Linked DNA regions of Canis lupus familiaris. The protein of the gene in region 5 interacts with the protein of the main gene of each other region in a pairwise test. Links are inferred from orthologs where the notes say so. Each region holds a gene or a part of one and is shown on either strand. Other genes may lie near its edges. The genes, in order: TSFM, RAC1, AMOTL2, GSE1, RALBP1, GPS2 and CEP57.

Region 1 (4,023 bases), on a different chromosome or scaffold from region 5:
CCAGGCCCTGTTGGTCCTTCCTTACTAGTGTTTTGTCTTTCACCTCTTTTCTCTTCCCACTGTAGGGCTTGGGGCTCTCTTTACTCCTTGGGCCACATATCTCTTCCTCTGGACTCCTGGCCTCCATTCTCTCTCCTTTAAGCCATTTATCAAACTCTTTTGATCTTCCAAAATCAGCTCTGACCAGCTTCTGTTGCCTACTGCAAGAGTAAAGCTCCTTGGCTTGGTACTCAGTCTATCCCATGTGATCCCAAATGACCCTTCTATTTCATTTTCAACTGGTTTCCTACATGTATTGCAACCTCTGGACAAATTCCAAATGTCTACTCTTTGTTCCCTATTTCCACACCCAAATTGCCCTGTTTTCTTCATTCTTTTTGATGATTCCCTGCCTGGAAGAGCTCTTTCTACCTCTCAAAATCTTTATTACTCTTAGCCGCTTTCCTGAAGAAAGCTTTTACGGAGCCTCCTGTTTTTTTTTTTTTTTTTTTTTTTTTTTATTTATGATAGTCACAGAGAGAGAGAGAGGCAGAGACACAGGCAGAGGGAGAAGCAGGCTCCATGCACCGGGAGCCAGACGTGGGATTCGATCCCGGGTCTCCAGGATCGCGCCCTGGGCCAGAGGCAGGCGCCAAACCGCTGCGCCACCCAGGGATCCCTGAGCCTCCTGTTTGGATGTGATTTCTCTCTCCCTGGAGACCCTTTCACTGGTCATCTTAGGGCCTTACTCGGCTTGCATGGTACCGGTCTGTCCCCTACTTCTCACCCCTAGACTACCGGGAAGGGCAGGGGTGTGGCTCACGCCTTCCTAGTGCTCTGAGGCCTACAGCGGGTCGACGTGCCACCCATACTTTGCTTGGTCAGCGACTAGCCCCGGGGTCTGGTGAAAGGGCTCCCCCCCCCCCCCCCCTGCCTGCCCCGCGGCCTTTGGCCACATTCCTGAACCCACCCGCCCACCCGCCGGGGCCGCCGAGAGTCCCAAATGGATGACGACTGTGAAACAGGACTGGAAATAAAGGAACGTGAAGTGTGTCCGCGTGCCTCGGAGCGTTATTTCGCGACCCCCGTGCCCCGTGGCCTCCGTTATTCACCTGCGGGCGGGGCGGGGCGGGGCGGTGGCGGCGGGGCGGGGCGGGCGGCGGGGCGGTGCGTGTGCCCGCCCGGCCGGCAGGTGGCGCCGTCCGCGCCTGGCGCTGGCGCCGGAGCTCTGGCCCCGCCGCCGCGCCGTAGCCGGTGTCCTCGCGCGCGGGCCGCGGACATGTCGCTCCTGCGGCCCTGGCGCCTCTTCGCGGCCGCGCGGGGCTGCTCGGTGAGGGGCCTGGGCCCCGGCCCCGCGCCTTCGTCCTGGGACTTCCCGGTGCGCTCGGGACGCAGCCCCCGTCCCCTCCTCCCTCCCCATCCCCCCCGCCCCGGGAGCCCCGGGTCTCCTAGGGCGGCCTCCCTGCGCGCTGCCCCGCCCGGGCTTCCCGCGGCGCCCGGCCTTCCCCCCATCCCCCCCTCCCCCGTTCCCGCCCCATCCCTCTCCGTCCCCCTCTCCCCCCCCCCCGGGGCTCCCCCCATCCCGCTCCCCGCGGCGCCGGCGGCTCAGGCGTTTCCTCCTCCCCCGCAGGCCGGGCCCCCCCCGCCGCCGCCTCGGCCGCGCCCCTTCCACGCGGGTCCATGGCTGTGGTCGTCGGCCCCGAGCAAGGACGCCCTCGTGAAGCTGCGGCGAAGAACAGGCTACTCCTTTGTAAACTGCAAGAAGGCTCTGGAGGCCTGCGGCGGGGATCTCAAGCAGGTGGGGGGCGGGGGCCGGGGCGACCTCAGGGGCGGGGACGTGCTGCCCAGGGACCCTAACCCAGAACCCTGGGCAGCATCCTTTTTTTTTTTTTTTTTTTTTTTAAGATTTTATCTATTCAGGAGAGACGCAGAGGGAGAAGCAGGCTCCACGCAGGGAGCCCGACGTGGGACTCGGTCCCGGGTCTCCAGGGTCGCGCCCTGGGCCGAAGCCGGCGCTAAACTGCTGAGCCACCCGGGCTGCCCCTATTTTTAAAGATTTTTATTTATTCATTCATGAGAGACCCAGAGAGAGAGGCAGGCTCCCCGCTGGCCCCAATGGCTGACAGACCCCAGGATCCCGGCCTGAGCCCAAGGCCTGAGCCCAAGGCTCGGCCACCCAGGCGCCCCTCGGGGTAGGATGCACACGTAAGTGCCGACCTCACCCTTTGACTCCGAAGCAGTTGACCAGGATCCCGTGGGTAACACTCTTCCAAAAACCACTGCTCTGCTGTTTGCTGGTGCTTGGAGCCCAAGGCCTTGTGTGAACCTTGGGAGCCTCACGCACCAGGACTCACACTGTGGTGCTCTCACACTAACCCTGTGATCTTGGACACTTTGATCTTTCAGAGTCACGTTGTTCTTGTCTGTACATAATAAAAAAAAAAATACTGCTGTCTGCTCCATAGGGTTGTTGTGAAGATTAAATTTATCCGAAGCATCAGGCACAATGCCTGGTATTTGGCGTTCAGTGGTAGGCTGCCAGTAAACGATAGACTGCTTTAGTTTCCGTTATAGGATTGACGAGAAACAGAATTAGGGAACCTGAACATATTTTAGAACCCCATTCAGTTCTAAATTCTGTGAGTTTGTCATCTGCCCTGTTTTCAATTTATAGGCAGAGAGCTGGCTGCACAAGCAGGCCCAGAAGGAAGGCTGGAGCAGAGCTGCCAAACTCCACGGCAGGAAGACTAAAGAAGGCCTGATTGGGCTGCTTCAGGATGGAAACGCAACCGTGTTGGTAGAGGTGAGCTGTCAGGATTCCAGATAAATCAGCTGCCCTTTGGGTGGAGAGCTGTGTGCTAGACCCTTCGTAGCCTTAAAGAAGAGGTGTTTGCGAAGTGCACACGGTTGTTGGGAGAAAACTGGTGAGACCACGGTTATTGTGAGCTCACTTAAGTATAGGAGTGGCTGGGTGTGTTGGCTGTTAAAGGCCTAGAAAGTCAGAAATGTTACAGATACCCCCACGTTTCAAAAGTTCATGTTACGCACTTTGCTTTTACAAAAGACCTACAATCATACGCCTGTTTTTGTTTTTTGTTAAATCCAAAGAGTACTTTTCACTTTTATGAAAAAAAAAGGCAAAAAGTGAAAATAGCAGTTAGTGTTGGTTTTGCACTGATTCATTGTAGAGGCAGGGGGCACCCTCGCAGCAGGAGTTGCCCCCCCCAACTACTCTCCGCATCTCAGCATCAAGCCGCCATAGCTTTGAACTTTGTGAGCATCTGTGCTTTCCGTTGATTTATTTAGTACATCAATTTGTTTTGTACATCCATTTCCATATAAGTTAATGGTAATTGATTTTTCACTTTATGCCATTTTGGCTTACAAAAGGTTTCATAGGAACACCGTACGTTCAGATAGTGGGGCAAACCTGTACTTCTCAGTGGGAGTCTCCTGCAGCCTTATACCTCGTCACTGATTGTTTCCTGGAACAGTTAGATTTTAAAGGTAGGAATTCTATTAATTAGTCGATGGATAGTGTGTAGCTGTTTTAGAGGAGGTGTAGGGGCCTCAATTGCTGAAGAATCAGATGTGGGTTAGTATAGAGTGAGAAAGGGAGATAAGCAGGCTGACTGCAAAAGTGGTTTGGTGTTGGAGGAGTCCGGAGAACGAGGTAGTGATGGCCCACAGCTACGGGCAAGTGGTAAAGGTGTAATGGCTCCATGGGACATTAGGGAACCATCTTTTGAATATGGGGGTCAGTTGCTAACTCATTGGCACAGCAGGAATCACCCCATTGAGTTTCTGGCCTCAAGCTAGGAGAGGAACTGCAGCCTTAAAATTCGAGGGTCATTTATGTCTGTTTTGTTGAGTCTGAAGCTTCTTCTGTAATACCTCGGTTTACTCTGATTTTAAGGCACTTTTGCAAACTGTCCAGAAGCAGCTTATACAGCAACATCAATTTGTTCCCGCCAGGTAAACTGTGAGACAGATTTTGTTTCCAGAAATTTAAAATTTCAACAGTTGGTCCAGCAAGTCGCCCTG
Region 2 (4,267 bases), on a different chromosome or scaffold from region 5:
TTTAACAATTTTTGAATAAAAGAACATTCCAAGTATATCATCAGGTATGTTTTGTTTGGGTCAAAGCAAAAAAATATTTTTGGTTTGGAAAGTCATGTATGTAACTTTTTCACTGAAGTAATGTTTGCTGTATGTTGTCCCTTATTTAAAGTAATAGAGGGGGCAACTGGCTGGCTCAGTTGGAGGAACGTGCAACTCTTGGATCTCAAGGTCCTGAGGTTGAGTCCCACATTGAGTGTAGAGATTACTTAAATAAATGAATAAATCTTTAAAAAATAAATAAACAGAGCTTGAATTGTTTACTTCTAACAGGGCTTTGCCCCAGTCTACATCAATGTCAAATACAGTACCAAATAAATCGAATGAAAACTTAAAGCCAAGAATTGTTTTATGCTTTGGACCTCCCACACAGGGCCCAACAGTGCCTCAGATTAAGAGAAAGAGCAACACTATATGAGGCTGGCTGCCTGCACTTTCTCACCTGGGGCCAGGCACCTGGGAGGCACTTAGTATTCAGCATCTTGTTTATTTTTTTTTTTAAGATTTATGTATTTATTCATTCATGAGACAGACTGAGAAAGAGAGGCAGAGACACAAGGAGAGGGAGAAGCAGGCTCTCTGCAGGGAGCCTGATCCCCGATCCCAGGATCTCGACCAGAGCTGGAGCCGGGCAGGCACCACTGAAACACCCAGGCGTCCCCCAGCAACTTGTTTAATCCTCGCCACTTCAACTTGAGGTCCCTGTCCTGGGAGAGGAGTGTGAATATGCCCAGGTTCCTCCCTAATCATTGGGAGTGGGGATTCGAAGTAAGGATCCAGATCCCACAACAGGCATTCAACAAGTATGTGACTAGATACACAAGGCAATACAAATCTTCGGGGTCCATCATCTGTAAGCATTAAGTAGGTCTGCTGTGCTTATGTTTAGTTTCAGAAATTTTCAATTAAGAATATTACATTCTAGGGCACCTGGGTGGCTCTGTCAGGTAAGTGTCTGCCTTCCTCTCAGGTCGTGATCCCAGGGTCCTGGGTTCAAGTGGCGCATCCGGCTCCCTGCTTGGCATGGAGCCTGCCTCTCTCTTTCCCTCTCCCTCTGCCACTCCCCCTGCTTGTGCTCTCTCTGTCAAATAAATAAAAATCTTAAAAAAAAAAAAAAAGAATATTACATTCTAAAGTTAGATACTGAATTATCAGCAATTTAAAAAAAACAGCATTATTTCATACTCTAAGCATTACAGATTCAGCATTTTTAAATTTTTAAAGGAAATGCAGTTAAAGTGTTCATAAGACAATGTGATATATGTGTAGTTAACTCATTACACAAAAGGATCAAATTTCATTTAAACCAATGTACTGATTTCCCTATTAAACTAATTAACTGAAGTTTTTGGACCCCAAATGAAAGAAAAGCTTTCTTTTCAAGGGTTTAAAAAACAAAAACAAAAAACATACATATTCCTAAATAGGTGAGAGTCATAATTTTTAGCTATATGCACAGAACCATGAAGTGTTAATAACGTTTCACACGTTGAAGACTGACAAATCACACAGATGGGCATCTTTTAAAAAATTAGTTCAACTGTCCTTACATCTGAAATAGTTGTAGCAACAGTTTCAAAATGTCTAATTTACAACAATCTAAATGAGCTAATTCACAACTTGGGAGGCATAAAAGCCACATCAGTCCTAATGACAAGTTTGGGGAATATTAATCAAAAGGAAGAGCGATGCCAGAACTCTTCCTTCGATTTTACAAGACTTGAAAAATGTACCAATTACACTGAGTTTGATGAAACTGATAGTAATTCTTGGATCTTCGCTGTTAACACTCAACTAACTCGAGCACTGCTGAGATACACAATTTTGCTCGGATTACACTGAGATTTTTGTTTCTATGGGAGGGGAAAAAAAAACTGCATAAGCCAAGTCTTGTCTTCCTCTAGGGCCTTGTAACCACCACAGACAGTAATGAAAAGAAATGCCTTGAGTCACAGGGCAGCTCCGCTCAGGGAGCCTGTTCTGCTACATCCCATACCTAATGCAAGCAGCGAAAGCAAATTTCTTTCTTTCTCTCTTCCTTTTTTTTTTATGACCACACCACATTCAGAGAAAAGATCAGTCTTAATCACACCTAGCTTCTCGTAGCTAGAATCCCAAAAGTTTCTCCAAGGAAAGTACAAGAATTATCACCAAAGGGAGGGAAAAATCTTAAAAGCGGCTAAGTACAAGCGGAAGATACGGGAAATCAGTTTGGGGTCGCCAAACCAGCCCAGGCAAATACTCAAGAACTATCGACCTGGTCGCCGGGACACACGGAAGCTTATAACCGGGCTCCAGAGGCTGATGTAAAAACCCAGAAAGGGTCCTTCCCCGCCCCCCCTTAGAGAAAGAAAGGCAACTCCAAGCCCACCGCTGTAGGGGCGGACGAGCGCGGGTGGCGGCGCGGCTGGGGGGTCCCGCCCCGCGCGCAGCGGGCCCAGAAGGCGGGAGGGTGGAGTTCACTTTTCCCTCCGGCCGCCGCTCGGCGACTCCCTCCCCCATCAGAAAAAAAAGAAAAAAGAAAAAAGGCAAAGAAAAAAAAAAAAAAGAGCCGGAACCAGGCCCCGTGCCTCCCAGTCCCGGAGGGAGTGAGTGGTGGCCCGCGCCCCGCGGAGAGGCCGGCTCCGGGCCCGCGAGAGCCCGCCCGGCCCGGCCCCCAGGCCCCACCCTCGGCCTCGGCCCCCGGCCCCCGGCCCCCGGCCCCCGGCCCCGGCCCGCGCACTCACCCGTCTCCCACCACCACACACTTGATGGCCTGCATCTGGGCCGCTCGCTGGGCCGCGGCGGCGGCGGGCGGGCGCTGACGCGAGAAGCGGCGGGCTCGGGGCGCCGCGGGCGGGCGCGCGGCTGCAGGCGGCAGGGCGCGGGGTGCCGGGGCCGCTGTCCACGCCGCCTCGCCTTCCGCCGACGGAAAGCCGGAGCCCAGCCGCGGCCACCACCCAAAGCTGGGGGAAAACTGCGGAGAAACAGGAAATGGCCGCTCCACTCACATCCGGTCTCCCCTCCCCCGCGCCGGCGCGCCGCTCCCAGGCTCCGGGGCGGGGCCGCTCCTGCCCGCGCGGCTCCCGGGCTTCCTGCCGGGTTCGGGGACGTTCGGGAGCGCTCGGACGCGCTCGGCTGGGGCCCGCTCGGCTCCAGAGGGTGGTAAGAGATGGGGGCGCGGGGGCGGGGGCGGGGGCGGGGGCGGGCCGGCCGCCATGTTTGTGCCACCTGGCGAAGGGCATGAGTCTAGACTTCTGTGAGAACTCTGAGGGGAGGACGAGATTCTGCCAGAAAATTCAGAACCTAAATTTCTAAGGAAGCAAATGCCACACGCTCTACCATTTTCCAAAGATAACTTCTGCTCATTGAGCCAAAAATGTTGAAATTTCTTCCCTTATGTGTGCGTTGTCCGTTTCCGGTGCGTTGAGCGTTTACTAGTTCCACGCCTTATACCAAGTTCTGGAGTTGATGTTACCAGACCATTAAAGTGCCAATATTTTGGTATTTTTTCCTCTGAGTTGTTTTTTGTTTTTAAGTAGGTCCCGTGTCCACTCTGGGGCCTAGACTCATAACCCTGAGGTCAGGAGTCACATGCTCCGCCAACTGAGCCAGCCAGGTGCCCCTCTTGGCTAGTTCTTTATGTGTGTAAAGATATGTTTTAAAGAAGGTTGGAGGGATCCCTGGGTGGCGCAGTGGTTTGGCGCCTGCCTTTGGCCCAGGGCGCGATCCTGGAGACCCGGGATCGAATCCCACGTCGGGCTCCCGGTGCATGGAGCCTGCTTCTCCCTCTGCCTGTGTCTCTGCCTCTCTCTTTCTCTCTCTCTATCATAAATATTTAAAAAAATAAAGTTGGAAAAATACCTAACCCTTAGGACATTTTTAACGGCCAATTACTGTTCACTCCCATTGTGCTCGTGGCCCTCACCCAATGTCTCTGTTATTGAGCGGCTGAGTTGTCCCTGTTTGAGAAACCATGCTGGGCTGGGCGTGTTTGTGACAAAAAATTCACAACTTGATTTCTTTAGACTATACGCCCCAAACTGGAGTTACTGGGGTAGCAGGAGTGAGCGTTTTTTAAAGCTTTGGTATTTATTGTTGCATTGCCCTCCTGCAAGGTAGTAACGGGTTCACGGTCCCATCGGCTCTGAGAATAGACTCTCCAGGGGAGTTGATTTCCAATGACATTTCCATCTCCTAGGCCTTCTTTTCCTGAAATTCACTCTGTTGCTCAGTACTGTAACAGTGT
Region 3 (4,123 bases), on a different chromosome or scaffold from region 5:
GTGCAGGACCGTCCCGGAGGAGTCTTCTAGCGTCCTCATGCTTCCTTGCCTTGTACACAGCTGCCTGGACAATGGCCGGTGGCACCTGGCCCCAGGGCACCTGGGAGGAGGGAAAGAAGAGCAATTAGTGGGAGCACAGGGGAAAGAGGGCAGGGGGTGCTTTCCGTTACAGTGTGGTCCAAAGCATAATGGTGAAGAGTAAGGCTATGGGGGCGGGGGGGGGGGAGGTCACACAAGCCTGGGTTCAATTGCCAGTGCTGCCACCTACTGATTAAGGCAAATGACCTAACCCGTGAGCCTCAGTTATTCCATCGGAATAACGCTTGCCTCATGGAGGTGAAAATTAAATAAGGCGATGGCTGCTGAGTGCTGGTGCACTGTAAATCCTTGGCAGAGGGCCACCGTTACAGTCATATTCACGGAGACTTACTAAAGAAAGCCACCAGTAACCTCCAAGGTAATCCATCACCCAGCCTCTGCAGTCAGCTTCCCAGTGAAAAGGCTGAGGAGAGACTCCAGGGCAGGAGTAGTTCAGCTACAACCACTGAGCAGGCCAGTCTAGGGGTAGACAGGGCCCCAGTTCATTGGCAGGTGATAAAGAAGGAGTCCAGCCTAGTAGAAGCCCTAGGCAGACAGCCCCTAGCTCCCTCTAGAATGTAGCATGCCTGAGCCCTAGGCTTGGCACGGGTAACTCACCACCCTCTACCACCTTTACCATGCTGGGCCCTCTCTGTCACGGGATGACCTTGACGGTCACTCTGCAAGGTGAACAGGAAGGACAAAAATGCATCGGGTTTGGCAAATAATAAGGGATCAAAGGAGAAGCTACAACAGGACGATGGTTTTGTGAAATGAGGTGAAAAAGATGCCACCCGTCAAGGTTTGTGGGTCAGTCATAGTCTGTGTGCTGACAGCAACTGCATGGGTGCTCCAGGAAAAACAAAGGGCGGCACCGTGTCTTTGACTTTAGGACTGTCCCTCCTACACACGTACACTTGCTACTTGGAAAAGACCCCGATGGCCCTCTGCCACATAGAGGGTGGGCACTCAGCATTTTGCCATCGGTAACACTTATCTGAGCTAACTGGAGGAGTAGGGGAGCGAGGGAGAAGCTCTTGGTTGCAGGGACCGGAGTCTGGGGCGGGGGTGGGCTGCTGGAAGCTTCAAGAGCAGGGAGTATCTCCTGAGGAAGGTATTGCCCTCTGAGCTTGGGCTCTCAGTGGCTCATGTCCCGAGGCTGCCTGCCTCACCCAGCTTCCTTCCACAGCCTCCTCCCACACAAAACTCCTAACTAGATTCAGGGAAAACCAAACAAAACCCCTATCCCCACAGGTCTTATGTATGGGGGGAGGTCAGTGGGAAGAATGTGGTCCCTTCTCGGCCACAAAACTAGCCCCATTGCCCTGCTGCCTTTAAGGTTTGGTAGGTTGGCAGAGCAGCCAGTGCCAATCTACTCCTCCCTCCAGGCTGCCCAGAAATGAGGAGAGGGAGAGGAGTCTGGAAGGCATCTCTGTGCCCATCCTTCTTGGCACCCAATCGGCCGCCCCCTCTCCCTACACCCCGGAGGCGTGGAGATGCAAGACTCCAGAGTTACCAGAGGCAAAACAAACTGCAATCAATTCGCCCTAGAGTTTCCTCCGCGGGGCATTTCCTAAAGTAATCAGTCTGGGCTGACTCTCCAGCCGAGAATGACGGTGGGGAGCAGGGTGGGGAGAAGGGGGGGGGGGTGGCGTGCAGAGCTTTCGGGACGGGCTCCTCGTGTCCCCCCCGCAGCCGTGAGCCTGGGAGCCGGGAGCACCTCCGGGGCCCCTGTGCCGCGTTTGTCCCCGTCAGACCCCTCAGATGCACATTCTTTCGGCTGAGCCGTTACTAAAATCTGTGACCGCGACCCGGCCATGCACCTTCGCTGCACCGGCGCACCCCGGCTTCCTGAAAACCAGCGCCCCCTCCCCGGTAAGCAAACCACTCCGGCTCGCGCCGGGGCTCGGCCTCGCCTACGGAACCCACGCGAGGGTCTCTAAGGAGGCGTGCACCGCAGCAGGGATGCCGCCCTGCCCGGGCTCCCGGCCGACCGCGAGCACCCGGAGCGCGCGGGGGGGGGGGGGGGGGGCGGGGGCCGGTGGCCCAGCAAGGTCTTTAAGCGTCGCGGGTCCGCCTCCCTCCCGGCCTCCCGAGCCCTCTTTGTTTTCCGAATGCTCCAGCGCTGACGTCACCGGGCTGGCCGGCCGGCCGCATTCTTTCTAAGTGAGAGCCGTTCCGAGGCTCCAGAGAGGATTTTCCAAGGAAGACAAAGAGGAATTCTTGGACGGGTTGGGGGCAAGGACACCTGTGATCTGCCCCCAACCGGATCGGCCCCAGGGCCCGCACCTTGAACCCGCAGCGGCGCCCCTCTGCCCAGCCCACGACCCGAAGCATAAGCCCCCGCTCCCCGCAAAGGCTGCCCCCTCCCCCCGCCCCAGGGGGCCCGCGGGCCGCCCAGAGCTCGGGACGGCCCCGGGCCGCCTCTGCGCTTCCTCGCAAGGGCGCCCCGCACCCGGGGTCGCTCGCCGCGCCGCGCCGGGCTCCGGCTCCCGCTCCCGCTCCCGCTCCCGGGAAGGGCGGGCTGCGCGGGGGCTCCGGCTGCACCGTGGCTCCCGGGCCGCGCTCCCCGAGGCGCCGGGCGGCCGTCCTTACCGCTGCGGCCCGCGGGTGCTCGGCGTGGTCGGCCCGGCGCGGCTCGCCCGGCTCGGTGGCGGCGGCGGTGGCGGTGTGCACTCGGCGGCGGCGCCGACGCTCTGGCCGCCCGGGCCCCGGCGCGCAGCTCCAGGCTCGGCCCGCGCCGGAGGCGGCTGCTATGCCAGGAATGTGAGAGTTTCAGGTTCCCCCTCGGGATCAAAGCGAACCACAAATAACCTCGCAGCGCGCCGCCCTCCTCCGCCCTCCGCCGCCCTCCGCCTCCTCCCCGCCCTCCTCCCGGCCCCCGCCTTCCTCCCGGGAGGCGGTGCCGCGCGCCCCGGAGCTCGGTCCCGGAGCTCGGTCCCCGGGACGCGCGGCGCCTCCCTCCGCGGCCTCCCCACGCCACCGCCGTGGGCCCCCGGGGCTGCTGGGGACGGATTCATGCCCTCGGCCATTGCCACCCCCCCCCCCGACCCGTCCCCACCTCCACCTTGCACCCACTCCTTCAGCCCATCCGCGAAACGACACCCGGAGATGGGCAGTCGCGGGTCCCCAAGGGGTTCTGGGCTTTGCTGCAGGGAGAGGGGCCCCGTGTGTGTGTGTGTGTGTGTGTGTGTGTGTGTGTGTGTGCAAGGGGAGGAGGACTGTCAAGATGTCCACACCCGCCCGGCTTGCTTGGACTCTACCTCGGTCCGGCTCGAGTCTCCGAACCCCCACTGCTCTCACCGCCAGCGGCCACCCTTGAATTGCCCTGTTATTGTTTACAAACACCTTTGCCAGCTCTTTTAGGGCCTGTCTCCACAGGAAGTGTGAATCTGGGTTGAGAATCTTCCGGTTAATTGGAGCCACCGAACTACTTGAATCACCCGCGGGCAGGCGCTCTGTCCAACATTTCTGGAAAAAGGTAGTAATGGGCATCCCCGAATTTACGCAGGGTGCACGGTGTGCCACCACCCGCTCCTCGCCTCGTCATCCCAGGCAGTCCTCCCAAGTCATCCTCCCAGGGAATTCTGTTATCATCCCTGAGTTTAAATGAGGAAACCAAGGCCCAGGGAGGTTAATTAGCTTGCCCCAGGGTCACGCGGAGCAGAAGTGATGAAGCCAAGTAACCGATGGCTGCTCAGTTTTTTCTTTTCTCTTTTTAAATTTCAATTCAATTCAATTTACCAACATATAGTATAGCACTCAGTGCTCATCCCATGCCCTCCTTAGTGCCCATCATCCAGTTACCCGAGCCTCCTCACCCACCTCCCTCTCTGCAACCCTTTGGTTCCCAGAGTTAGGAGTCCCTCATGGTCTCCCTCTCTAACTTTTCCCCACTCAGTTTCCCGCCTCCCTTCCCTTATGGTCCCTTTCACCATTTCTTATATTCCACACATGAGTGAAACCACATGATGATTGTCCTCGGGTTGACTTATTTCACTCAGCAAAACACCCTCCAGTTCCATCCAGTTTTACTTACTTACTT
Region 4 (3,500 bases), on a different chromosome or scaffold from region 5:
GCATGGAGCATTTCAACAAGTTTCTCTTTGTCTATGAGAAAAGCAGCCTGAGATTAACAACACAGTTGCATCACTGCTGAGAGGGAAGGGGAGCAGGCTTCTAGCCCAAGCCGTCACTGGCAGGTGCAAGTCCTTTAAATCAAGAAGAGCAAAGCAAGGACCAAGGGGAACAGGCTGTGTTTAAAGGAAGAAACTTTCATTTTAGGGTTAGCTCAGATTCTGCTCAGCTTTTGCTACAGAGCATTCTAGATGCATTCCAAAAATAGCTGTGTGCATACATCAAAATAATGGGTTCCCGTGATCTTCAGAGGTGACTTCCGACACTATTCTTATTTAAAAGACTCAGGCACACAAAAGCTCCCAACAAAAGGAACAACCGTGAAGATCCACACAGCACCTCTGGGAGCATGGGCTGCTTCCAGGCACATTCCTCTCCCCTACAGCTCTTGGCACACGTGCACAAGTCCCAGCAAGGCTGCCATCTACTGAAACGGAACCAGACCCCCGTGACGCCCACCACTGTGAGTTCCTGTTGTGGTGGCACTTGTTACCAACTGACACCGAAGTGCCTGCATCACTGGTGGCTTCCTCTAGGAATTAAGTCAGGCAAAAAGATGCTTGTTACAAACAAGATTATGGCTGTTCCCAGGGACAGGTGCCAGTGATCAATGAGTCACTGCCTCTTTAAGAGAATGCGCAGGTTCCAGTTTAAGGTTAAAGGCGAAAAGCACACGGCTACACCCCACTAATGAAGTAAGTGGAAGCAAGTATGTGACCAGTAACACTTCTGCTTTCCTTCTGACTTCCTTCCAGAGAAGTGACAACCTAGGTATCAGCAAGTTGGACTTAGAAGCATGGAAATGAGCATCGAGACAGGTGGAGTTCTCACCTGAACTCACTTCCTGGCACTAAGTGAGGTATGGGCCAGACCAAGGAAGGGGAGGCGAGAATGTGCTCAGACCGCACCACCCCTCCTGTGCTATGGACTCCAGCCTGAAAAGGTGGCCCCAACATGGCCCTTGGTGGCCAGATGGACCTGGAAGCACCTTCCAGGGCAAGCTGTCCCATTCACAGCATATGCTGGCTCTGCCTGGCCACCACAGGCCACCCCGAGCCTCCTGCTGTCAGAACGCAAAGCTCTGTGGGCCACGGCAGCACCTGCCAAGAGTAAACAGCCACTACCTGCAGGATGGTGCACTGCGACCCTGCGCCCAGGAGTCGCCCCACTTGCTGCCTGAAGCACTGGGAGGTCTGACAAGTGACAAGAGCAGCCGTCAAAAGCAGGCTTTACACACAGAACACATGGCACCAAGCCTTCAGTCCTGCACAGGATGTGACAAGAGATATGCCCTCCAAGGAGGGGAATTTGCATTTTGGATGGAGAGAAAGTCGATGCTGGAGCGATACTGGGGTAGGCCCGTGCAAGCAAAGTAGCTGCCTCCTTGGGGGCCAGAGGGAATAGAAAGAGCCCCAGGATGAAGTGGTTTTAGATCCTACCAGGAGTGTGGGCATGGAACATTCCCAGGAGCCCACGGCCCCTGCTTCTCCAGAAGCTTGTGGCCGCAGAGTGACCCGACCCCACGAGGCCCACACTAGGCTGTACCTTTCCTCTTCTCGGCACTGATGTGAGTCAGGTTGAAGATGGTCAGGAACTTCTTCTTCTCTTCGAAGTTTGGGCTGTTGTTCATCTCATCAGGACTGTAGCGGGTGGACAGTGCCAGTCTCGGTGAAGGCGTCTGCCGCTTGTTCTGAATCGTCGGGGGTGACGGGCTTCGCTCCCTCAGCATCCGCCGCCGCTTCCTCCGCTTCTGGGTCAGCAACTCCTCCTTCTGCTGTTGGGTGGTCAAGCCAAAAAGTTGCAAAAACTCTAGCTTCTAGATTGGGAAAGAAAACAAATGAGTTTGAAACCACTGGCAGTGGCATGCTTCCACTGTCCCAGGGGCTCCCTCCTGGGGTCCATGCAGCCCATGAGCTGTGGCCAACTCCACACTGGGCCACAGACGCGGAAGACCCTGACGGCGCTTCCAGACAACCTGCAGTCAATGGGAATGGAGGGGTGCAGGGGTTCCTAGCAAATGAGGGGCTGCCCGGGACAGTGGGAGGGAAGCCAAGAAGCAGAAAGTGATGGGGGCACCAGAGGCCCCACCCACAACCTGTCACACGGGGACGAGATTCCAGATACCTCGGAGGACGTGTCCAGCTTGAGGGGCGGCTGCTCGGCCACGCAGCGGAGGTGGGCCCTGACCTCCTCCTCGTCACTCTCATCGTAAGAGTCGTCCAGGTCGTAGTAGTATCCTGGGGACAAGAAAGGACTGTTGGGCTGGGCAAGGAGCCTCATCCTACAGTGGATGCACACAGGGGGCCCCTCTGTGACACGTACAGAAGCACGCATCAGACCAAGACCTGCAGGCCTCCCTGACCACCCCAAAACCCCAGATTCCTTTTATCCCAGGTGGAAACATGCATTAACCCCTAGTCCTAGGATTTTAGCACTTTATAGGGATGGCTGGTGAGGGGTGAGGGTGGAGACGGCAGGAGGCAGATGCCAGGCTTCCTTTGGACCCCAAGTGATGAGGCTGAGGTGGCCTGAACGGACATGATCTCTCTGCAGGGAATCATTCATCCCACAGGCCTGGGGCCGTGTCCATGGCAACCCAAGGCTGTGTGTGCACATCCACTCCCCTCCTGCTGTGGCCATCTGGGTCCACTACCCAGGAGGGGCCAGGCATACTCAGGTCCCCACCTAAGGCAGAGAATGTGCACAGAAACTCACGTAGAAAGCAGCAGCACCCCTGCACCGAGGGCACTGGATGGGGCACTCCCTCATTCTCCCTCACAAGACAAGTGGCGGAGAAAAATACTTTTGGGGCCTTAAATCTAGCCTAGAGCAAGAACCCTGGGAAGACCTGGCCCTGGTCCCAGCTTCTGGCTAAGAGACTGATTTCAATAGGACTCGTTTCTAGCAGGAAAAAAACAAAAAAAAAAACAAAAAAAAAACTGGTCTGGAGCAACCTCTGACCCCTCCTGGTCAGACAGGGTGTGCAAGTAGGAGACAGCCAAGGGTACCTTGGACCTGCTGGCTGACAGTCCCGCCCCCACCAGCGCCCTTCCCACTGCAGGAGCAGGGAGGGAAGGGGGCCAGATCTGTCCCTGCCCTACCCCCACCGAGGATGGCAACCCCTGAGGAGCCCCCACTGGGCCCAGGCCTGTTCTCTCGACAGCCTCCTCCTCTGTTATGCTGCGCTATTAATATTTAAAATCGTCTTATTAGCCTCTGTTCATTATTTATTAATCATGCGTGTCTGTGGAACTATTCTTCCAGAGAGCTTTGATTTGGCTTTTTGGGACAATTTGCACTGTAGCAGGACCGGCAGGGGCCCCAAGTCTGTCTCCCCAGCAGAGGTTGTCAGGTAGCAACACAGAAGCCAATGAACTTGCTCCCTGAGCCCACAGCAGGAATCAGGAGTGGGAGGAGGGCTGGCACTGCTGCCCCCCGGTCC
Region 5 (3,500 bases):
AACACAGATGTTGCACAGGGCAAGACTTCCATACTACACAATAAAAAAGTCCTACTACTTTGCAAGAAATAAAATCTTTTTCCTTTTACATTTTGCTTGATTCTAGACACCCACATGAGATATTCTTGCCAAATATGAAATTTAAATTTTCACACAAAGGGAACATAAATAAATGGAAAATCAATTTCATTAATCTATGTAATAGCTGCACATGGCTGACAAAAGCATTCACATTTGGGCCTAAACATTTAACAAAGAACATTTCATGTCCCTCAGCTTAACTCAGGAAATACGATTATGCTAATAAAAGTGTCTCTGAAGCGTCCTTTACCCAGATATCTCCTCTCCTTCACAACACAGAGCTCTGCTCAGAGAGGAAAGAGGTGAGAAGAATACAGCACAGTCTGAGCACACCAGAGCGAAGGAACACTACTCCTATGCTTTGCTTATACTCAGCCGGGCGGCTGCAAACTATGAAAGACTCATGCATAAAGCCTCCTAATGGAAGGTAGTATCATCAGAAAAAAGCAAACTATCAAAACACACACAAACACATACACACACGCACGCACGCGTGCAGTGAGGGATTTTTGTTCAACTGCAAGGATCAAGGAAATGAATAAGGCTCAGGACCCATGCTACAATTTTCCTCACAAGCTAATCATTTTCCTTTCTTTAAAAAATGAAGGTGAATTTCTTAAAACCCCCAAGAGAAGCACATGTCCTCAATACCTGAAACTCTGTAGATGCCTTCACACTTCATGCCATACTTCTCCACGTAATCTACACACTCACGGAAAACCGCTGGCAGCCGAATGCCATCGTACAGCATGGTCCTCTCAGCTGCATCAGTCAAAGGGACTCCAAAGATGGGTTTGAGGTTCGGAACATCAATCTGAGGCACCTCTGGCTCCTGGATTGGCTTCTTCTTTTTCTTCTTCTCCTTCCACTGTTTAACAACATCAGCTGCTGTCAAGTCTTTTGACTTCTTCTCTTTATGTTTCTCTTCTTTGTGCTTTTCTTCTTTATGTTTTTCCTCTTTGGGTTTCTCTTTAATTTTAAAATCCTTCTCTTTCTTTTTAGAAAAGCTGGGCTTCTTGAAAACATGAATTCCCTTGGACCTCTTCATTTTGGAAGGACTTTCAGCTTCATCTCCAGAGCTGTCTTCCTGAAAGGCAGCATAGCCTTCAGCTGCCAAAGAAACACAGGAAACAGAAGTCATAGATCTGTTAAATGTCAAACCATGCCTAAACTCTCTAAAAACAGGACCAAAAAAACAGCGCTACCTGGCACTGGCTACCTTGCTTTTCATTTTCACTTCATGGTCAATCCCTCCTGGGTACTCCCAGTAAAGGAACAGGTTTCTTCTCAGGTAAAATGAGATGTGGCAGTGACATCTCCTGGCCACAAGAGGGGAAATGCAGAGTGCCAGTTACCATCACAACTGGTTTTAGGTGGAAGTTTGGCAAACCAAATACTATGAATACACAACAAAGGATCTACAGAGAGAGGGCTAAGTAAGAGTCCTATAATATAGAGCGTTCTTTCTGGAAACTGCAGCAGGGACTGAAGCTTCATTTGGGTGGAAGACAGAACCAGGAAATTTCCGAATCTCTGGATGGTGGCCAAATGCACCGGCCCACTTATGCATCATGAGCCTTGGTGTACACATACCGACACTTGTTTTATATCATATTAGAGCTATCCTAGCTTGCTTCTGTTATCTCAAAATATAATTCTCCTATTCTTTTCTTTAGCCAGCTACCTTGCAAGCTATTTCATAACAAAGATTAAAAATATTTCACAAATTACCTTCCATTTAAAATACCACAAACTCCACACTAACCAGAAGGGCAGAAACCTTAAGGGCATTATACCATGATCTAAAACAAATGCGGTTCTCAGACACTGCTGGTGTGAGTGTAAACCACTCTGGAAAATTGTTTTTGCAGGATCTATGAGACTAATGCTAAGATGAGTATGGCCTATAATACAGCAATTCCACATCCAGGCATATACACAACAGAAATATGTATAAACACCTACAATGACACTCACAGAAGCCCTATTCATAACAGTCAAAAATGAAAAACAACCCAAAAGACCAAGAATAGCAAAAAATTCTAGTATATTAATGAAATGAAACAAAATCCAGCAATAAAAATGAACACATTACTGCCACATAGAATAACATGGATGAATCTAATGAATACAACTTTGGGCAAAAGAAACTAGATGCAAAAGGAAATCTGGTATCAGTTAGATAAATTCAAAATCAGGGAGTTTCAAGCTATATTGAAAGCAGTTTACCTTTGGGAAGGGTGGAAGATTCCCTTTGAAGGGATAATGGAAAGGAATTTCTAAGCTGCTGATAATGCTCTATTCCCAGAGGCTTATAATTTAAGGACATACACCCTTTTTGTAATAACTCATTCAAGTTATATACAATTTGTGCATTCTTAGTGCTATGCTTCAAAAAACAAATTAACTTAAAAATACCATAAAACTCCAAATAAAGCAATACTTAAAATAACTCACCTGATCTGCTTTTAACATACTAAGGTGCTATGCTTAAAAAATTCATCTTTCCAAATTAAAAAATAAAAAATATATAAATAAAATAAATTAAATTTAATTTAAAAAAATTCATCTTTCCTACTGAATAGGAACTATAAATAGAATGCATTATAGCATTTGCTTAAGACAAACAAATAACTACTTTTTTTTTTTTACAGTTCCAATAAAGTATAGTACTGCAACTGGCTTACACAACCTAGCCAAGAAAGTAATATTCTATATAAGGGTGAAACTCCAGTATCTACTTTTTATGCATTATTTAAAATAATCAATATAAGAAACTTTCATCATAAAACTTTACCATTTCTGGAAATTTGGTATTTTTATTTGCAAGAGTAAGACCCTAAAATACAGCTCTACTAAACAAAAATTGAGATCCAGAAAAGAACAGACAATGTCAAACAAGAGTCTTTGAACATTGTCTCAGAAAATAGCAGGTGCATGTAATTTGAGTAAAAGTTTATCTGAAATATATCAAAAGCACATATAAAAATGGCACTTACTCCTTTTTTCTTTTTTCTTAAATTTTCCTTTTTTCTTCCCATGGTCTTTCTCATCATCAGATACTATGTCAGGAGGTTCATGGAGGCTGTCATGGGGAGGCGAGGGCTCGCCGGTGCGGTACAATCCAGGAAACTTAGTAGGGCTGATCTCCTCAGAGCTGGGGGTTCGGGTAAGACCACTGCCATGCTCCACCCTGCGGTGTTCACTGGGGCTGCTGGTGGGGGGCAGGAAGCACTCAGTCATTCTGCCTCCCTGATGAGACAGTGAAGAGGGTTTCTCTGTTACCTATCCATTACACCTGCACATAGGAAAAAAAGGTCATCAACACCAGTCAAAATACAAAAGCACCTCCCCACACACAAAACATAGTGAGTACTCTTGCATTTACAAATCAAAAATATTTTTCTTCATGACCCCTC
Region 6 (4,013 bases), on a different chromosome or scaffold from region 5:
CCACCCCGGGAGGAGCAGCCCCCTTCCGTCTTGCTGTCCCCCTCCCTCCAGTATGCTGGGGCCGAGACCCTAGCGTCCAAAGTGCAGTGAGTACATGGGGGCTGGGACTGGGGTCTCCATGGCTTCCCATTGGTGTCCCCGCTGTGACACTTGGGTCTTGTCTCACTCTAGCACATTTACTGTTGAAGGTGACTAGTACTGTGGAAATAAAAGTAGAGTGGGACGCAGTGGGTCCCAGGTGTGCTTTGCACAGGTACAGGCACACAGTAGTCAGGGTAGACATGGCGACGAAGGTTAGGTTTGGGCAGAGGCCTGCAGAGGGAAGCCAGGGAGCGCCCTGGAGAGACCCCAGCAAGCAGGGGTGCGGCCAGAGCCAAGCCACCTCTCTCTGGGAGGTGGGAGTGACCCCCCCCCTCCCCCCCCCCCCGCAGGCAGCCGAGGGAGGAGCCTGGAGGCCTCACGGCTGGCCTTCTTCTTGCCCTGCAGATTCCGGGATCCCAAGTCCCAGCGAACGCACCAGGCCCAGGTGGCGTTCCAGGTGTGCGTGCGCCCGGGCTCCTACACCCCCGGACCCCCTTCGGCCACCCTCCGAGAACCTCCCGACCCTCACTTCAGCCCCGCAGAACTCGAGTGGATAACCAAGGAGAAGGGGGCCACACTCCTCTATGCCCTGCTGGTGCGGGTGGAGTGAGGGCTGGCCTCTGGACGACAAGCACAGTGGGGCCCCCCCGGCCCTGGCTTAGCATCCCCTGCCGCGGCGGGTGCTCCCCGAGCCCCCGGAGCCCCCAGAGCCCGACGCATCTCTGGAGCAGGAACGCATCTCCGCGTGCAGGGCCCACGCCTCCCACTCGGGGCCGGCAGTCTCCCCTCATGCACTGACTCGGGGAACACGACTCCCTGGACTCCCTCCCCCGGATCACTTAATTTATTTCCGTTTTCGTTCCTGTTACTGTGAATCCCGAGGAGCCTCCCCGGGCCGCCGGGCGGAGTGGGGGCGGGCGCGGGGAAGGTGGGCCTCTGTACAGTTGTTACGGACGCGGGTTTCCAAGGAGCCAATAAACGCTGTCCCAGAGCGCGCGCCTCGGCCTCTTTCTCATTCATCCCCCTCTCGCACCGCCCCCCGACGAGCCCCAGGGCTGCCCAGCTGGGGGCGCCCGGCGCGCCGACGGAGTTTGGCCCCCCGCGGCACCCGTCGCAGCCGCTTCCGCCCTTCCCTGCGCCCGTCCCGCGAGGCCGCCGGCCGCCCCGGCTCCGGAAGGACTCGGCCCGGCAGCCGGATGTGACGCGCGGCCGAGGCGCACAGGAGCCGCGGAGAAAGCGCAGCGAAGGCGGGTAGGGAGGGGCGGGCGGCGCCGAGGCCGGAGACCCCAGCCCGCCGGCGCACGCGGAGCACAGGGGCACCCGGAGCACCCGGGACCGGCCGGGCGGCGGAGGGTGGGCGCCGGGCACGTGACCGGGGCGGCGGCGGCAGGCGGGCTTCCGCCTCGGCCCGCGGGCGCGACCCTCCTAAGCGCCCGCTTCTCGGCAGGCCCGGCCCAAGGTCTGGCAGTCCGTGACAGAGCCGGGCGCCCACGGCCCGAGCGTCCCCCGTGGCACCATGCCCGCGCTCCTGGAGCGCCCCAAGCTTTCCAACGCCATGGCCCGGGCGTTGCACCGGCACATCATGATGGAGCGGGAGCGCAAGCGGCAGGGTGAGCCCGGCCGAGGGGGAGGACCCCCAAGCCCCGCACCATGGGCACAGCGCCGCGCCGCGGCCGCGCGGGAGGAGGGTGGGACGGCCCGCCACTGGTGGAGGGAGCTGCAGGCCGGGTCCGGGCTCCAGAAGACTCGGGCCGGGAAGGACCTTGGAGAGCACCTGACATACCCTCCCTCCCAGTCCCCTGGGAGGAGAGGAGCAGAGGGAGCACTGGCACCGGCAGGTTTCCCCGCTTCTCCATCTCTAACGTCCTAGTGTTTTAACCACCCTGCGTTCTTCCCATTGCACCTGGTTCTTTCTCCAGAGGAAGAAGAGGTAGACAAGATGATGGAACAGAAGATGAAGGAAGAGCAAGAGAGGAGGAAGAAAAAGGAGATGGAGGAGAGAATGTCACTAGAGGAGACCAAGGAACAAGTAAGCAGCCCCCTGCTCTGTCCCAGCTTTTTCCTCCTTTGGCTCTCCTGCCGTCAGCTCCTCTCCCCTGCCTTCTCAGATCCTGAAGTTGCAGGAGAAGCTGTTGGCCCTTCAGGAAGAGAAGCACCAGCTCTTCCTGCAGCTCAAGAAAGTTTTACATGAAGAAGAGAAACGGAGGCGAAAGGAGCAGAGGTGGGATTGGAGAGCTAAAAATAAAATTGAGACAGTAACTGGGATGGGTAACACCAGATGGGTGTCTGATGGCAAAAGAGGGGGCACTTGTCTTCATTCTTGGTTTTGACCTGCCTGCCTTTCACTGCAGTGACCTGACCACTTTGACTTCAGCTGCGTACCAGCAGAGCCTGACCGTCCACACTGGGACTCACCTCCTCAGCATGCAGGGTGAGGAATGAAGAACCCGCTTGTTAGAATGCACCCTCCCGGGGGTTGCAGCCACCCCACTGCAGCCTCATGAAGCCCGTCTCCCTGTCTAGGGAGCCCTGGAGGACACAACCGCCCAGGCACCCTCATGGCGGCTGACAGGGCCAAACAGATGTTCGGACCCCAAGTGCTTACAGTAAGGAGTAGCATTGGGTGTGTAGCCCGCCATTTCCATGCAGACACGGGCACCCGCATTAAACAAGTATTCAAGTCACCAATGTTGTCCAGCACTTGACCAAATGGTGGAAAATTGGGCACATACAAGGCGCTTGGGGTTCTGCTTTGGAGGAGTTTCCAGCAGCAGCCAGCGCTCCTCTTCCTTCCTCAGACGCGACACTATGTGGGCTCTGCAGCTGCCTTCCCCGGGACCCCGGAGCATGGCCAGTTCCAAGGCAGCCCCGGCAGTGCCTATGGGACCGCGCAGCCCCCGCCTCACTACGGACCCACGCAGCCGGCCTATAGCCCCAGTCAGCAGCTCAGAGGTGAGCCGTGGGTTGGGAGGGGGGCGCTTCCTCCAAGACCCAGAGGCCGCTGGTCCCAGGCAGGCCCGAAGGAGGCTCGACAGGCTGTGCCTCCTGCCTCCCTCAGCACCTTCGGCGTTCCCAGCAGTGCAGTACCTGTCGCAGCCGCAGCCACAGCCCTACACGGTGCACGGCCACTTTCAGCCCACCCAGACAGGTGAGGATGCCCCCGCCAGGGCCCCAGGGCTGAGCGTCCTCCCCGCCTCCGCGTTCCACACACCCATCCTTCCCTTTGTAGGCTTCCTCCAGCCTGGCGGTGCCCTGTCCTTACAGAAGCAGATGGAGCACGCTAACCAGCAGACCAGCTTCTCAGACTCTGTGAGTACAGAGCCTGGGCAGGGCAGGGGCAGTGCTGGGCCCAGGGGTGCCCCAGGCCGCCTCGGACCCTGACTCTCTTCTCCGTAGTCCTCCCTGCGCCCCATGCACCCACAGGCTCTGCATCCAGCCCCTGGGCTCCTCGCCTCTCCTCAGCTCCCGGTGCAGATGCAGCCAGCAGGAAAGGTAAGGCCAGGGGTCGGACCCGGCTGGGGCCCTACCCTTCCAGGGGGAAAACCAGATTGTGTAGGAGAGGCGGCGCCCACCCCTCCTCTCCCATTTCCTCCTGGGGTGGGGATGGCTGGGAGTTCGGGTGTAGATTGAGGGGCAGGGTACACACCAACGAAGTCCCCCCACTTCTGCCACCAGTCGGGCTTCGCAGCCACCAGCCAGCCTGGCCCTCGTCTCCCCTTCATCCAGCACAGCCAGAATCCACGATTCTACCACAAGTGATCATCAGATTTTATCTTCAGCCTCAGCCACAGCCCCTGACGTGGGTGAGGGAACTTGGTGTCCCAGTCTAATAAAATTTACCTGCCTCTGCCCCTCTGCTGCTGTGTGCATCACCTCCCTCCCGGGCTGGGCCAGGGCTGTGTGGAGGGTGAGGAGTGACAGGCAACTAACAG
Region 7 (4,160 bases), on a different chromosome or scaffold from region 5:
GCTCACAGACAGCATCCCGGCTTTAATGGGATGGGAGGAGCTCCAAATCATAGAGCATTCTGTCCCCAAACCAGTCGCTTCGCTTTCCTGGACAGGGAAGGAGGATGCCATCAGCTTTGCGGCTTCAGGTTCCTAGCAAGAAAGTGCAAAAACCGTCCCCTGCCTCCCGGTGGAAGGAGAGGACAGTCCAGGCAGAAAACCGAGATGAAAACATCTCCACCCCAGGGTCTCTGCGGCATAGACAGGTGGCTGCCGCCTCATTCAGCCCCACCCGGAGACCCCTGAGTGTCGGTAGGGCCCGGCCCCCTCCTGGGCCGCCTGGAAGAGGGCAGAATTCTGTCTTCCTCTCAGGGGCCTTTCCCATCCGATGCCCACGTCCCCAGATAAAGGGTCCCGGGAGAGGAGGCCAGAAAGAGCTCCAAGCCCTCAGGGCGCCGGCGACGGGAGCCGGGCTGCAGTGCCGCGGCCACCGCGCTCCCTCGGGCTGGCCGAGGGGACCCCGCCCGCCCGCCCGCCCGCCGCCCCGCGCCCACGGACCTTGCAGAGCTGCTGGCCCTGGGAGAGCTCCTCGAAGGGATAGCGCTGGGTGCACTTGGTGCAGGCGTACAGGGCCGAGGCCGCCATCCTGCTCAGTCTCCTCCTCCACCGCCGCCCGCACCGAGGCGGGGCCCTACGGGGAACTCGGCCGCCGCCGCCGCCGCCGCCCGGGCCGCGAGCTCCTCCTCCTCCCCCTCCCCTGCCTCGCGCCCACCAGAGCCGCACCACGAGAGCCCAGGGCCCTGCGGTCTACACCGTCTCCCTCCGCCTCCACTTCCGCCCCCGGCCCTCTCAGGGACGCCGTCCCAGCCGCTCCCGCTTCGGCGCCTGGAGCGGCGGAGGGAGACCAAGAGGATAGCTCGGTGCGGGGTAGCTGCGCGGCGGTGGATCCGCTTCCTTCTCGGCCTTCCTTCCCCGGCTCTGATTGGCTGGGAGGGCTGCTGCGTCACTCGGTCGCCCCTCCCAGCCCCTAACCGCGGCGACGCTGGAAGCGCCCACAAAGGGAGGAAGCTGCTGGCCAATGGGGGCCGGGAGCTCTCAGCGCGCCAAGGCCGCTTCAAACCCGCCCCGCCCACCGGCCCAGGAGCGCCTGGAGCTAGCGGCCAGTCCCGGCTGTGCTGCGGTCGCCCCGCTCCAGCCGGGCGCGTGTTCGCCAAGGCTTGCTCCGTGCCCACGCTGCTTCCCCCTTGACTTACTTCTGTTGGGCCGAACCACTAAGGCCCCTTGCGACACTACTTGTTACTGGTCAGAAGCTAAGTACTTCACCTAGAGAGGCGTCCGGGTCGAGCTCACGCCCGCCGGCATTTAGTCCCAGGGGGCCGATGGCGTGTTTGGACTTCACACTCGCTTTTATTGTTTCAGTCATTCTATTCAACGGTCCGTGGCGCCCGTCACCTCCTCGGCCCGGCCCGCCCCTCCTGCGGAGTTCCCTCGGGGCCGCCCGGGAGCCGGCGGCGTGAGCGCCGCCGTAGACTCAGCGAAGCGCTACCTTGTGACGTCGGCGACGGAAGAGGCGGACTCTCTGCTGCTACCGGAAGCCGTCCGCTTTTTTGATTGGCTGCTCCAGACGTCCGTTAGGGCGTGTTGCCTTTTCCGCGTGCAGCCCCTGAGCGTGGGCGGCCCAGTGGGGGTGTGTGCAGGGGTTTCCAGGCCCCGCAGCAACACCCCAGCCCCTTCCATCAGGGGTTGGCTTAGGGTCGCCCCTGGCGGGCGGCTCTCGAATCTTAAGGAAGAGCTCGAAAACTCAGACCCCCTTGGGGCCGCGGAGGCCCTCTGGGCTGGCAGGAAGATGGCGGCAGCATCGGTGTCTGCGACTTCAGGGTCTCAGTTCTCGGTAAGAAGCGGCTGACGTTCGAGTAGGCTCGGTTTTGGCGCCTCCTTGCTTTTCCTCACCTTTCAGCGCGCTCTGGGCCCGGGGTCTCACCGCGTCCGGGGCACGGCCGGGGGTGCCTGACGGGGCGCCGTGCTCCCCTGACGCCCGCCGCCCCTCGGCCGGGGCTGCACCCCCCCCCCCCCCCCAGCCGAGGCAGGCCTGGTCGGTTCCGTCCCTTGCTCCCCTCACCTTCCGTTCTGGCTGCCCAGGTGGCCAAACTTTGCCAGGACTCTCTGGGAAGGCTCCTCCCGCCGGGCCTGGCGGAAACCTTGCGGCTTTGGTCACGTGGGGGGAACGGCACCTCCTGGAAACTCGCCGAGACCAGGTAGCTCACGACGCGGCTTCGTCGGCGGCTGTTGAACAGTCGTCGGTCTCCACCGCTTGCTAGTTGCGGCCTGTGCCGATTCCGTTGCCTGCAGCGCCTCCCCCCGCGTATTCCCGTGACTGTGCCTGCGGGTCACCCGGAGCGCGCGCTTCCACCTGCGCTGTTACTTGGCCGGCACCGCGTACGCGCTGGCGCTGTTGCAGAGGGGCCGCGGGGGAGCTGATCCTACGTAGTGTTCTGCCTCCCTATTATCTGTCGAACCGGATTGCCGGTGCTTCGAATTTGAGAATCCGCCGCGCCGGGAATAGGCAGAAAATGGGAGGCAGCTCAGGCGAGAGCCATTGTGTCTTCCCTTAGCTGCAGCGGAGTGCTTGGGGCTGTAAGGTCACCCAGGTGAATGGGTTGGAATCCCCGCGCCGAAGGAGCAGACACAGAAGAGAAACTGCATGTGCATTAGACTGTTACACAGCTCAGTTTGATAGATGCTGCCATGCAGGTATAACCTAAGCGTGAGTGGTCGGTGCTTGGGTTGGCTGGAAACAGTTTCCTAGTAGGGAAGATGGAGCTCGCTAGCGGAGTGGGGAAGGAATCGTCAGTCGGTGCTAGTCCAGAGAACTGGAAAGGAGGAAAAGGCACCCGCGGGCACTTCAGTTAGGTGCCAGGACAATGGGAGCTTCCGGGAAACTAAGTAATGTGGAGCGTACAGAGGTCGTGGGGCGGGAGAGTTGGGTTAGATGAATTGAATTGTGGAGGTAGGTAAAAATTGGGGGGAAAAGAGGGATACGGACGAAAACAGGAAACTATCAGGATGAGAGTTATGTCATAGACGCTTAAGGGGGAGAAGTTTAGGGAGCGTTGAGAGCAAAGTTACCTCAGTTTTCCTCAGTTGCAGCTTTTGTGACTTAAGGTTTATGATAATAAGGCCAAAAGCAACTCCGTTTCTGCGGAAGGGGAGTACCGAATTTGCAGAGCAGTCAGGGAAGATTAAGAATGAATGAAGCACTTAGAGTTCTTTCAGGAATTAGGTCAGTGAAAGGGAATGTAAAAAGAGGAACTATTAGGAGGAAGTGTCCCTAAGTAGATGGATGGGATTATATAAGAGTTGTGATTAAATTTAATTGTGAGAAGAAGGCTTTTCACTGCTTTCAAAACTTAGCACTTGGAGACTGAGTAAGAAATACTCCTAAAACTGTTAATTGAGCTGTATGTACTCTCTTGAGTCTGTGTAGCTGAGCTGCGGTACTGGGATGTGCTGTCAACCCCTTAGTTCTTAAGGTAGCCTGGGCATAAATTTCATAGTGTTTAATAGGAAAGCATATATATATGCTTTTATTTATTGGATTCTAAATATCAGGAGTACACTTTTTTTTTTTTTAAAGATTTTATTTATTCATGAGAGATATAGAGAGAAAGGTAGAGACACAGGCAGAGGGAGAAGCAGGCTCCATGCAGGCAGCCCTACGTGGGTCTCGATCCCGATCCCGGGACTCCAGGATAACACCCTGGGCCAAAGGTGGCGCTAAACCACTGAGCCACCTTGGCTTCCCCAGGAATACACTTTTCAAGTACCTTTTGGAAATCTAAAGTGTAACAACCTTCTTAATTTGACTTGCTACATCAAAATGTCTCATTTGGAAGTCACTGTTTCAAAACAAATGACTGAATGTACTTTATTATTAGTGTATAAGAAACAGCCCTGCTTAGACACCTTAACTGTCCTGTCAGAAATAAGGCTGGTGTTTCCAACAAAATGTAAAAAGCATTTTGGCTTAATGAACAGTTGATTATAAGATAAGAGAACACAAAAATACCTTTTAAAATTATAGCATAAATTCAGAGGCTACTCATATTCAGATTTTAGGGTTGTATAAACACTTCATGTGAAAAAAAGAAATAATATGTATTTAACACTCATAAACCCAGCTT

The links.
Region 1: the proteins of RALBP1 (region 5) and TSFM interact in binary tests that used the Homo sapiens proteins (3 or more experiments, as listed by UniProt). The two-hybrid records come from large-scale screens. The link is inferred for Canis lupus familiaris from reciprocal best matches to the Homo sapiens genes RALBP1 and TSFM.
Region 2: the proteins of RALBP1 (region 5) and RAC1 interact in a two-hybrid assay, tested with the Homo sapiens proteins (2 studies listed by BioGRID, with this or other methods). The link is inferred for Canis lupus familiaris from reciprocal best matches to the Homo sapiens genes RALBP1 and RAC1.
Region 3: the proteins of RALBP1 (region 5) and AMOTL2 interact in binary tests that used the Homo sapiens proteins (3 or more experiments, as listed by UniProt). The two-hybrid records come from large-scale screens. The link is inferred for Canis lupus familiaris from reciprocal best matches to the Homo sapiens genes RALBP1 and AMOTL2.
Region 4: the proteins of RALBP1 (region 5) and GSE1 interact in binary tests that used the Homo sapiens proteins (3 or more experiments, as listed by UniProt). The link is inferred for Canis lupus familiaris from reciprocal best matches to the Homo sapiens genes RALBP1 and GSE1.
Region 6: the proteins of RALBP1 (region 5) and GPS2 interact in binary tests that used the Homo sapiens proteins (3 or more experiments, as listed by UniProt). The two-hybrid records come from large-scale screens. The link is inferred for Canis lupus familiaris from reciprocal best matches to the Homo sapiens genes RALBP1 and GPS2.
Region 7: the proteins of RALBP1 (region 5) and CEP57 interact in binary tests that used the Homo sapiens proteins (3 or more experiments, as listed by UniProt). The two-hybrid records come from large-scale screens. The link is inferred for Canis lupus familiaris from reciprocal best matches to the Homo sapiens genes RALBP1 and CEP57.

Annotation. Positions count from the first base shown.
Region 1 is NC_049231.1:2,195,935-2,199,957, forward strand, and holds the start of TSFM (elongation factor Ts, mitochondrial), read left to right. Parts: upstream 1-1,223; 5' UTR 1,224-1,258; coding exon 1,259-1,357; intron 1,358-1,609; coding exon 1,610-1,777; intron 1,778-2,653; coding exon 2,654-2,782; intron 2,783-3,954; coding exon 3,955-4,023. UniProt on the Homo sapiens protein: Associates with the EF-Tu.GDP complex and induces the exchange of GDP to GTP. It remains bound to the aminoacyl-tRNA.EF-Tu.GTP complex up to the GTP hydrolysis stage on the ribosome.
Region 2 is NC_049227.1:11,815,608-11,819,874, reverse strand, and holds the start of RAC1 (ras-related C3 botulinum toxin substrate 1 precursor), read right to left. Parts: upstream 2,801-4,267; coding exon 2,766-2,800; intron 1-2,765. UniProt on the Homo sapiens protein: Plasma membrane-associated small GTPase which cycles between active GTP-bound and inactive GDP-bound states.
Region 3 is NC_049244.1:31,681,486-31,685,608, forward strand, and holds the start of AMOTL2 (angiomotin-like protein 2), read right to left. Parts: upstream 2,801-4,123; 5' UTR 2,674-2,800; intron 101-2,673; 5' UTR 40-100; coding exon 1-39. UniProt on the Homo sapiens protein: Regulates the translocation of phosphorylated SRC to peripheral cell-matrix adhesion sites. Required for proper architecture of actin filaments.
Region 4 is NC_049226.1:67,508,070-67,511,569, forward strand, and holds part of GSE1 (genetic suppressor element 1), read right to left. Parts: intron 3,271-3,500; exon of another isoform or gene 2,296-3,270; coding exon 2,183-2,295; exon of another isoform or gene 1,875-2,182; coding exon 1,604-1,874; exon of another isoform or gene 32-1,603; coding exon 1-31.
Region 5 is NC_049228.1:75,572,877-75,576,376, reverse strand, and holds part of RALBP1 (ralA-binding protein 1), read right to left. Parts: intron 3,380-3,500; 5' UTR 3,325-3,379; coding exon 3,081-3,324; intron 1,192-3,080; coding exon 733-1,191; intron 1-732. UniProt on the Homo sapiens protein: Multifunctional protein that functions as a downstream effector of RALA and RALB. As a GTPase-activating protein/GAP can inactivate CDC42 and RAC1 by stimulating their GTPase activity.
Region 6 is NC_049226.1:32,479,419-32,483,431, reverse strand, and holds GPS2 (G protein pathway suppressor 2), read left to right. Parts: upstream 1-1,213; 5' UTR 1,214-1,332; intron 1,333-1,528; 5' UTR 1,529-1,597; coding exon 1,598-1,691; intron 1,692-2,000; coding exon 2,001-2,110; intron 2,111-2,189; coding exon 2,190-2,302; intron 2,303-2,432; coding exon 2,433-2,512; intron 2,513-2,604; coding exon 2,605-2,687; intron 2,688-2,879; coding exon 2,880-3,033; intron 3,034-3,139; coding exon 3,140-3,229; intron 3,230-3,310; coding exon 3,311-3,390; intron 3,391-3,477; coding exon 3,478-3,573; intron 3,574-3,756; coding exon 3,757-3,840; 3' UTR 3,841-3,932; downstream 3,933-4,013. Other genes in the region: NEURL4 (neuralized-like protein 4), read left to right, coding at 1-86, 487-691. UniProt on the Homo sapiens protein: Key regulator of inflammation, lipid metabolism and mitochondrion homeostasis that acts by inhibiting the activity of the ubiquitin-conjugating enzyme UBE2N/Ubc13, thereby inhibiting 'Lys-63'-linked ubiquitination.
Region 7 is NC_049242.1:5,436,877-5,441,036, reverse strand, and holds the start of CEP57 (centrosomal protein of 57 kDa), read left to right. Parts: upstream 1-1,360; 5' UTR 1,361-1,825; coding exon 1,826-1,870; exon of another isoform or gene 1,871-2,035; intron 2,036-2,098; exon of another isoform or gene 2,099-2,443; intron 2,444-2,537; exon of another isoform or gene 2,538-2,724; coding exon of another isoform or gene 2,725-2,730; intron 2,731-4,160. Other genes in the region: protein FAM76B, read right to left, coding at 7-132, 538-624. UniProt on the Homo sapiens protein: Centrosomal protein which may be required for microtubule attachment to centrosomes. May act by forming ring-like structures around microtubules. Mediates nuclear translocation and mitogenic activity of the internalized growth factor FGF2, but that of FGF1.